Regions from separate parts of the Mus musculus genome. Here region 1 is reported to be linked to region 2. Evidence: microRNA targets listed by miRTarBase, many of them from high-throughput screens and not tested one by one. Region 2 holds a microRNA gene; the other region holds the end of a gene's coding sequence.

Evidence for each region. Region 2 holds the annotated microRNA mmu-miR-872-5p (AAGGUUACUUGUUAGUUCAGG, at 1,901-1,921, opposite strand). A microRNA usually pairs through its seed, bases 2 to 8, with sites in the 3' UTR of a target mRNA and lowers its output. Matches are read on the target gene's strand: a 7mer-m8 pairs with bases 2 to 8, a 7mer-A1 pairs with bases 2 to 7 and ends in A, and an 8mer does both.
Region 1: the mRNA of St6galnac3 is a reported target of mmu-miR-872-5p. Seed matches in the 3' UTR shown: 7mer-m8 at 2,685-2,691.

The regions. Positions count from the first base shown.
Region 1 is chr3:153,202,065-153,206,064 of GRCm38, reverse strand. St6galnac3 (ST6 (alpha-N-acetyl-neuraminyl-2,3-beta-galactosyl-1,3)-N-acetylgalactosaminide alpha-2,6-sialyltransferase 3) reads left to right here. Exons shown (of 5, transcript NM_011372.2): 5 at 474-3,556. The coding sequence ends at 660. Among named protein-coding and RNA genes, the nearest start is that of Gm33066, 20 kb to the left of the region's middle.
Region 2 is chr4:94,662,544-94,667,087 of GRCm38, reverse strand. It overlaps Mir872 (microRNA 872), which reads right to left and starts at 1,931; the gene lies at 1,851-1,931. Ift74 (intraflagellar transport 74) reads right to left here. Exons shown (of 20, transcript NM_026319.3): 13 at 4,422-4,501.

The DNA.
Region 1 (4,000 bases), not on the chromosome of region 2:
TTAATGAAGGTGGTGGAATATAGTTCCTCTACCAATATGAATCAGAGAGCATTTAATCATACTCTTAAAATGTAACTCTGGGTCACAGTCTTCATGAATAAACATTTGCTATAACCACTAAGTCTAAGAGAACACAGATGACCCCCAAACTTCACTGTGAAAACTCAGTTTCCTTACCCCTTAAAGAGCACTGGGCTGCGTAAGGTTTGTCCTGTCTCATACCATCTCCTCCTTTGAAACTGAGCCATGTGTTTGAATGTAATTGGTAGGATATGTAAATTGTATTTGATCTATTAGGACACTGAGAACGGTTCCGTTTCCCTAAAAGCTTTCATGTGCGGTAGCTTTTAACTGAGCTCATTGATGAAGGCTTGTAAGTTAAATGCATTTGCGGGGTATGTAATGGACGCTTGTAAACGCCAGCCTCATCCTCGGCTCAGCTCAGTCTTCCTCCCCTTCTGTTTCTCTTCCAGGACAGAAGGGTATAGAAAAGTCCCCTATCACTACTATGAACAAGGGAAAGATGAGTGTAACGAATATCTTCTCCATGAACATGCCCCGTATGGGGGACACAGGTTCATCACCGAGAAGAAAGTGTTTGCCAAGTGGGCCAAGAAGCACAGAATAGTATTCACACACCCGAACTGGACGCTGTCCTGATGCCGTGCTTCCCGACCATGACACTGCAGCTGTGGTGAAGAGAGGCTGATGGTGCTGACGGTGTAGGCAGGATGTTCAGGGTGTGACCATGGCCCTGGACATTCTCTGGTGTGGATACTGACTCTGTTAGTAATTTGAACTTGGCGTTCCATGGGAGGCGGTCATGTTCATTCTGATCTTTCTGGTGGTTCGGCCCTATCAATTGCACTTTAAAACTTACCTACGGTTGAAATGAAGGCCAGTGACCTGATGGCTGTGACTAAAGAAAACACGAAGATTACCTTTCAAGATAGCTGCTCAGAATTCTTCAAGAGGCTTCCAGAAGTGACGACTTCTGCCTGCTCAGGCAAGCTTACTGAGTGCACGGGCTGCTCCCCATCTTGGAAAATGGTGGACTATCAAACACTGTCCCAAGTCATCCTTCAGGGTATAGATGTCATGCCACAGTTACCAGTCAGCCTGATAGAGGGGAGGTATCTCTTTCTGATATGCCATCTTCCTTCCATATGTCTCTCAGCGAAAGCCTCAGGCCACCTACCTAAATGTAGCAATGAAGGCATTCTGTAATTCCTGCGTACCAGGATTACTGGACTATCTCAGAGACTTAATTCAAAATGTATCAAGTAGCAAATATTGACAAATTTTCACTCAGACAGCTGTGCTCTCACTACTCAAAACAATATAACTAAACATATTATTACAGTTACCTACGTTAATGTTTAGTTATTTTTGGTTGAGTGCTAAGTATTAACATGTTAGATATACTTCAACACTGTAATAACACATACTGTGAAAGCATTTCTTGAGCATAACCAAAGGGTTTCTCTCTCTGCTTCAGCACTCAGTACCAACAAATGAGATGCTTTTTGAATCACAAAACAGGGAAAGCAAGACATATTTTTGCATCAATTTGTATCCTATCATATTCATAATATATATTTTTAAATTCAAATTTCTATTTTATAAGCTGAAAGGGTATCTTTCCATATACATTATCAATGCCAAGTGCCAAACACTCTTTATACCATCAAACCCAGGCTGAGCTTTTGCCTTCATGGGGTTGACCATCCCTTAGGTTATCAGATGTTCTGCTAGGACAGTAAAATGGTGACGAGCTTACTTCCCAAAGTGCTTCGCTATGCTTCACATATGCTGTGTGCCATGTGACACCCACGGCCGCCTCACTGGATGATTGCCGGCACATTCTGCCACCCCCAGCAGCTGATCTGCATTGTTAGCTGTGTTCCTGTGTCCCAAGTTGCTCTGCCTCAGAATATATGTATAGAGTAGCATTTGTGTAAATTAGTATATGATTGAGTTCTCTGCCAAATACAGCAGAGATTATACAAGATGACCACAAGGATGGCTGTGTCATAGATCAGTACCCTATAAGCTTAGATACTTTTAATGTTTTTGTTTCTGTCAGTGGCTCTGTTCCAGGGCTCGGGGACAATGGATAGGAATGGAAGCAGAGAAATACAGTTCCCTGGTCTAGGCCTGAGACGGCTTCCTTCTCCGTAGATCAATGGTCCTTAAATATTAGAAGTTGGTTTTCTGAGACACTACCAAGCATCTATAAATATCTTGGCACAACAATTCAAAAGCTAAAACCAGGCTGCATTTAATGTTTTAGAGCTGGAAATAACAATACACCTCAGCTGTAGAACCTTGACAGGGCTAGGACTAAAGGCCATGTGACGTGTGACGTCATTAAGATGTGCATCTTTCCTACCCTACACTGTCACACTGATAGACATCCCACACCCACACCCACAAGAGTTACCCAGCCCCAGCCTCATCCCTGGGAGGAGTGGTTATTCTATTGTTTGCTTATGTGACTTTTTTTTTTTAGTTCTATGAATGTTAGATTTTAGAGCTGATAGTGATTCAAGATGCCCACTTAAAGGAAAATAAATAATAGCAATGTTAAAATTTCAATGTGAGCGTTGTTTTCTCTCAGTTGTGATGCAGTTCTGCTTTTACATGAAATGAACACTCAGTTATCTGAATGCCTTCAGGAGTGTGTAACCTGATTTGTGTCACTGCCCAGTCAGTGGTGGGCTAACTCTATTTTGGTGCTTACAGATGAGAGACTCAACAAACATACTCTCCTGCCTCCCTAAAGAGAGCTATAGCTTCCTCTTGTGTGGGCTTTCCTCACACTGTGTGTGGAAAAGGCAGCGTCCAAATTTAAGCCTGCAGTCGTCTGGAATGGCATAGACAGTGGCCCTCACCCCCCTTCTCTCTCCCTCCCCCTTCTCTCTCCTTCCCCCCTTTCTCAGCTCTCCTCCTTCTCTTCTCTCTCCTCCTCCTCCTCTTCTCTCTCCTCCTCCCCTCTTCTTCTCCCTCCTCCCCCATCCTCCTCCCTCCTCTTTCTTTCTCCTTGTTGTCTGTCTCCTTTTTTGCAAAGTATGAAACCAAAAGCACTTCATGAAGACCCAGTTGAGTGCCTTTGCAATGAGGGCTTTGACCAACGCTCAGGAGTTGCTTTCCTCTGAAGTAATACTTTTCTCTGCTTCCATTTCCTGTCCCTTTCTTCCAGCCTTAGTTCTGGTAGAAATGCAAAGTCTAATTTCTCCCATGTGAAGGAGAAATTCTCCATCTTGGACTTGGTGAGAGAGTGAGACAAGTGGGTGGGCAAGGGCGAGCATTAGTCAAAGCTCCTGTTGGCCCTGCAGGTACTAGTCCACCGAAAGATTTTATCCACACCCAAACATTAAAGTTAAATGACCTCACTCAGCACTGCTACATAACTACCTATATATTAATTAATATTTATGAAAAGAAAAATGGAAATGTACACACAGACACCACAACTCAATGGCATACAAGAGAGTGAGAGACTCTGGAGTACTCTATCCTAAGAAATATTTTTAAATAAAGTCATAGAATATTATTTCTAATTCTTTAGAATCCTTTTTAAAAACAATGGAAAATGTAAAGTATTTAAAGTCTCTTTGAAGTTAGCCTTTGAATAAGTCATATTGATGTTGTAATTGACAGATGATTTTTATCTTGGCGACAAACTATCAAAAATGATAATTAATTTGAAGGTATGTTTGTCTTTATGAACATGAAGTCCATTTGTGCATGTAGTACATGAATGGGCAGTGCATATATATGTACTTACAACTGTATGAGAAAGCATGCATATGATTCCACAGCCTTTGCCGATGTGTGACTCATAGAAAGCCTTATTTTAGACTTCAGCTGAAATTTGTTGGGTTTCATTTTGAATCCTGAAAAGGAAAAAAAAAAAAATCCAAAGTAAATGCGCTGATTGCCGAGTGTGTATGAAATCACACCGCATGGCTGGCCAGAGGAATAAAGCCAGAGAAGA
Region 2 (4,544 bases):
GCAACAATGCTTTTCCCACAGTTCCTATGTTCATACAAAAGTAACACCTTTAAGGGCAGGAGAGATGGCTCAGTGGTTAAGAGCACTCACTGCTCTTCCAGAGGTCCCAAGTTCAATTCTCAGCAACCACATGGTGGCTTACAATCATCTGTATGAGATCCGATGCCCTCTTCTGGTGTGTCTGAAGACAGCTATAGTGTAATCATATACATAAAATAAATAATTCAAAAAAAATGCAACACTTTAAAAAGTAATCATTTGGTTCACACCTATGAGGCTGAGTTCCCAACATTACTGAAATTTTGAGTGCAGTGTGGGCTATGTAGCAAGCACTTGACTAAAAAGAAGTAGGGCTGGAGAGATGGCTCAGTGGTTAAGAGCACCGACTTTTCTTCCAGAGGTCCTAAGTTCAATTCCCAGCAATCACATGGTAGCTCACAACAATCTGTAATAAGATCTGATGCCTTCTTCTGGTGTGTCTGAAGACAGCTACAGTGTACTCATATAAATAAAATAAATAAACCTTAAAAAAATAAAAATAAAAAATAAAAATAGCAATTAAAAATGTTTTTATTTGGTGGTTCAAGCTGTTCTAATCTTGAAAATATTAGAAGGGTCACACTTCCCTAGCCCTAAATTTATATGGTATTCTGGATACAGGGCAAGTTTTCAAACCTCTTTGTTCGGATTTTGCTCACAGTTCTTAGTGCCAACTTGGCAAAAGCAGCTAGCATAACCTACACAATCGCCTGTATCCTGAGCTCTCCTGAAACTTCCTCTCCACAATGATCTAGTCAGTCCTTTAGCATTAGGCATCACACAGAATCTCAGAACAAAAAGCACAGACCAACAAGTTCATTGCCAGAATGTAATATGCATGATCTTGTTCTCATTTAAAATATCACGAGTCAAAAATATCCACCACGTTATTAGAAAGCATGAATCCAAGGTAGGGATCCTCTGGAAAGTAATGAAATCTTTGCACTCAAGCTTTCTGAAGAGCACACACTTAGATCCTAAAATAAGAGGACCCAAAGAAGAGATTAGAGCTCAATTTTCACCTTTGTTCATTGTACAATTCCTTCTTTCTTAAATTATGGATTGTTTAGGGTATCCAAAACGCATTTACTTCCCAGATACTGTGTTGATGAACTAGATTACTAAAGTCAGTTAAGAGGTAGTCCCTGCCCTTGAGGGCTTACAGTCTAAGAGGGAAGACAAATAAATTAAGTAGGCAACTGTAAAACATTCTCTGTTCCGGTAACATGGAGGACAGTTACTCATCTAAGCCTAGAAACTAGTTAGGGAAGAAGTTCAGAGTTTTGTCGAGTAAGAGGATGCCAAGTTAAATGTTAAAGGCTAAGAATTTAATCAGAAGACAAGAAGAACAACAAACATTCAGTTAAACAGAAGACAACAAAAACAAAAGGTTAGAGCATAAAATAGTTGAATGAATGGTAATAAGGAGAAATGTAAGGTAGCAGAAAGAAATTACTACAGAGCTGGGTAAGATGGTTCCTATCTGTAATCCCTTCTTTTGGAGGATGAGGTATGAGGATTGCTGTGAATTTGAAGCTAGTCTGGGCTATACAACAAGTTCTAGGCAAGCCTGAGCTATAGTGTAAGAACTGGTTTAAAGGGGAGGCAGAGCCCAGAGATGACTATGGGATGAAATGGAGGCTGACAGAGTCACAGTAGAGAACTAATATGACATATAAAACTTGTTATTTTGTGCATCATGGTGAACCATATTTAAGCAGGACAAGGACACCAAGACATATTTTACACAAATCATTTTTTTACAGCATTATACCAGAAAAAAACTTAGAAGGGGCAAGAATGGAGGTGGGATAACCAGTTAGGAGGCTACTGCAATAGTTCAGGCAGAAAGTAATGAGGTCCTGAACTAACAAGTAACCTTCTAACAAGTTACCATCTACACAACCCCCTGTGTTGTCGCAGAAATTAGGATGATCACAGAGCAGAGAAGTGGCAACAATAATCACTGATGTATTAATACACTTACCTGTGAGTATATACACACAGTTTATATATTTATATATGCTTATATGTCCTAATAGCACCGTTACTCAGAATTAGCTTATTCTATATTAATAAAAATATTTGAAACAAAAAAAGAAAACAGAAGCAAAACCCAAAGCATTCTGCATTCTATTCTATTCTATTCTATTCTATTCTATTCTATTCTATTCTATTCTATTCTATTCTATTCTATTCTATTCTATAGAATGTTGCTACCCACACTTATCCCCTAAGGCAGTCATCATAGAAAACAACCTCATAGATATGCTATTAATTTATGTGCTTTGTAAATCAGGTTGACAATAAAATTAACCATCCCAGGTAAAGATGCAGATGTAGACAAAAAAATAATCTACTACTTTATTAGAAAGCATAAATCCAAGGTAGGGATTACAAGTTCAATTAATAAATTTTACTTCCCAAATGCATCATTTTAGGAGAATGAACTAAACACTATACATTATAATTTAGGAAGAAAATTATTTAGGATGCAATCTGTAAAGTTTCTAAAATAAAAACATCAGACTTTTCTAAATAGATCTACATATATGAAAAGTAACAGAGAGGAAATGACATAGACAAAAGACACAAAATTCCATAAGCTGAGAATCAATTGATGAGATCACTGTACAACATTAGTGTAAATATACTCTTTTCTCCCTTGGATCTTTCATTACAGAGTTTCTGTTATGTATTCCTAGCTGTCCTGGAGCTCACTATATAATCCGAAGGGGGGTGGTGCTCAAATTCACCGGTACACTCCTGCTTCTGTCTTCAGTGAGGGGATTCAAGGTGTGTGCTGCCAGGCCCAGCAACAATGTGGCCCATGCTTGAGGATCATGAGAAGTAGATTTAAGTTGCTCTCAATGAACAACATGTAAAGTGACTGAGCCATTCAAATATATACATACTTCAGAACATGCTACAAACAATAAGTATATATAATCTTTTCAATTACAAAAACAAATGAAAAATACAGTTTAAATTTAATATGACCTTAGTACTGTTATGAGCCTACCTTTGTCACAAATGCTACTTAATACATAAACTTTAGTGAGACATTACCATGATGCTCATTTCCCAAACCAGAAAACTAAAGCATAGTCAAGCTTACTTACCTAAGCCTTTAGAAGTCTTATTAATGCCATTAGTAACTTCATGTAGATATAACTATATGTTTCTAAGAACATATTTTAATTTCACAAATGAAATGCTTTGAATCAGAAAGTCAAGCTTATGCTTAGGCAGTGGAACTAAGACTTTATCATCAGAAAACCTTTGGTTTAAGTCTAGTTTTTACTACTAACTTGGAGAATTTAGCAAACTACTAATTGCCCTGAGCTTTCATGGTTATAAAATGGATTAGCTAGTATTCAAAGATTTCTTATAGAGTATTCTATCCAGGTAAGTGATTTATCAACAAAACAAGTAGTATTTATATGATTAACAAAAAGGCATGAATACTATCTTTAAAATCAAAGTAAAGGGCTGGAGAGATGGCTCAGTGGTTAAGAGCACGGGCTGCTCTTCCAGAGGACAGGTATTCAATTCCCAGCCCCCATATGGCAGCTCACAACTGTCTGTAACTCCAGTTCCAGGGGATCCAATACCCTCACACAAAGATATAGATAGATAGATAGATAGATAGATAGATAGATAGACAGACAGACATATAAAACACCAATGTACAGAAAATCTAAAAAATAAATTTTATTAAAGATTTGTTTAATAAATAAATAAAAGTAAAAACAAAGACTAAGGATACTATTTTTCCTACTGTGAATGTCTCTTATCATTCATTGGTAAATTATCCTGATTTTCCTCCACTACTGATAATATATAGTTGATACTGGTTAGTCCATGAACAAATTTATCAGTTGAAGGTAAGCTATGAAGTCTTTAAACAGGGAATCTATACCAAGAGTAATCTGGCTGAGAATTATGATGCCCACAGTTCTCCCATACACACAGAATTTCTACCATTAGGACCCTAGGCTGGGGAAAAAATAGAGAACAGTGCTTGCTCTCTCACAACTGAGCTCAACCAGGAAACGAAGCCTCTCTGGGCTACTTGAAGTATTTGTTACCTGATTATCCTCTCCTCTACCACAAAAAGAAAAAAGAAAAAAAAAAGAATCCTTTGAAAATCTAGGTACTTATCTTATACAATCATTAAGTTACTTAAAATTTTAATCAAGTAATTATTTTTACACTATTTATAATACTCGGTATATATATTTCAGTTAAGTTGGGCGTATCATAGAGTATTATATTTATCTAAATAATAAAAGTCACTAAGATTACAAATTAATACGCATCTGTTCAGATGCGTATTAATCGCATTTTGAAAAACTCAAAAAATATACCACAAACATTACCTTGGTGCTCCTCTAAATCCATGTCAAGTTGTCTAATTTCTTCACTAAATTGGTTTATTTTTTCTTTTATATCTGTTAACCTGTTAAAAATATTAGTGAATTTTAGAAGCAACACAAGGAAAA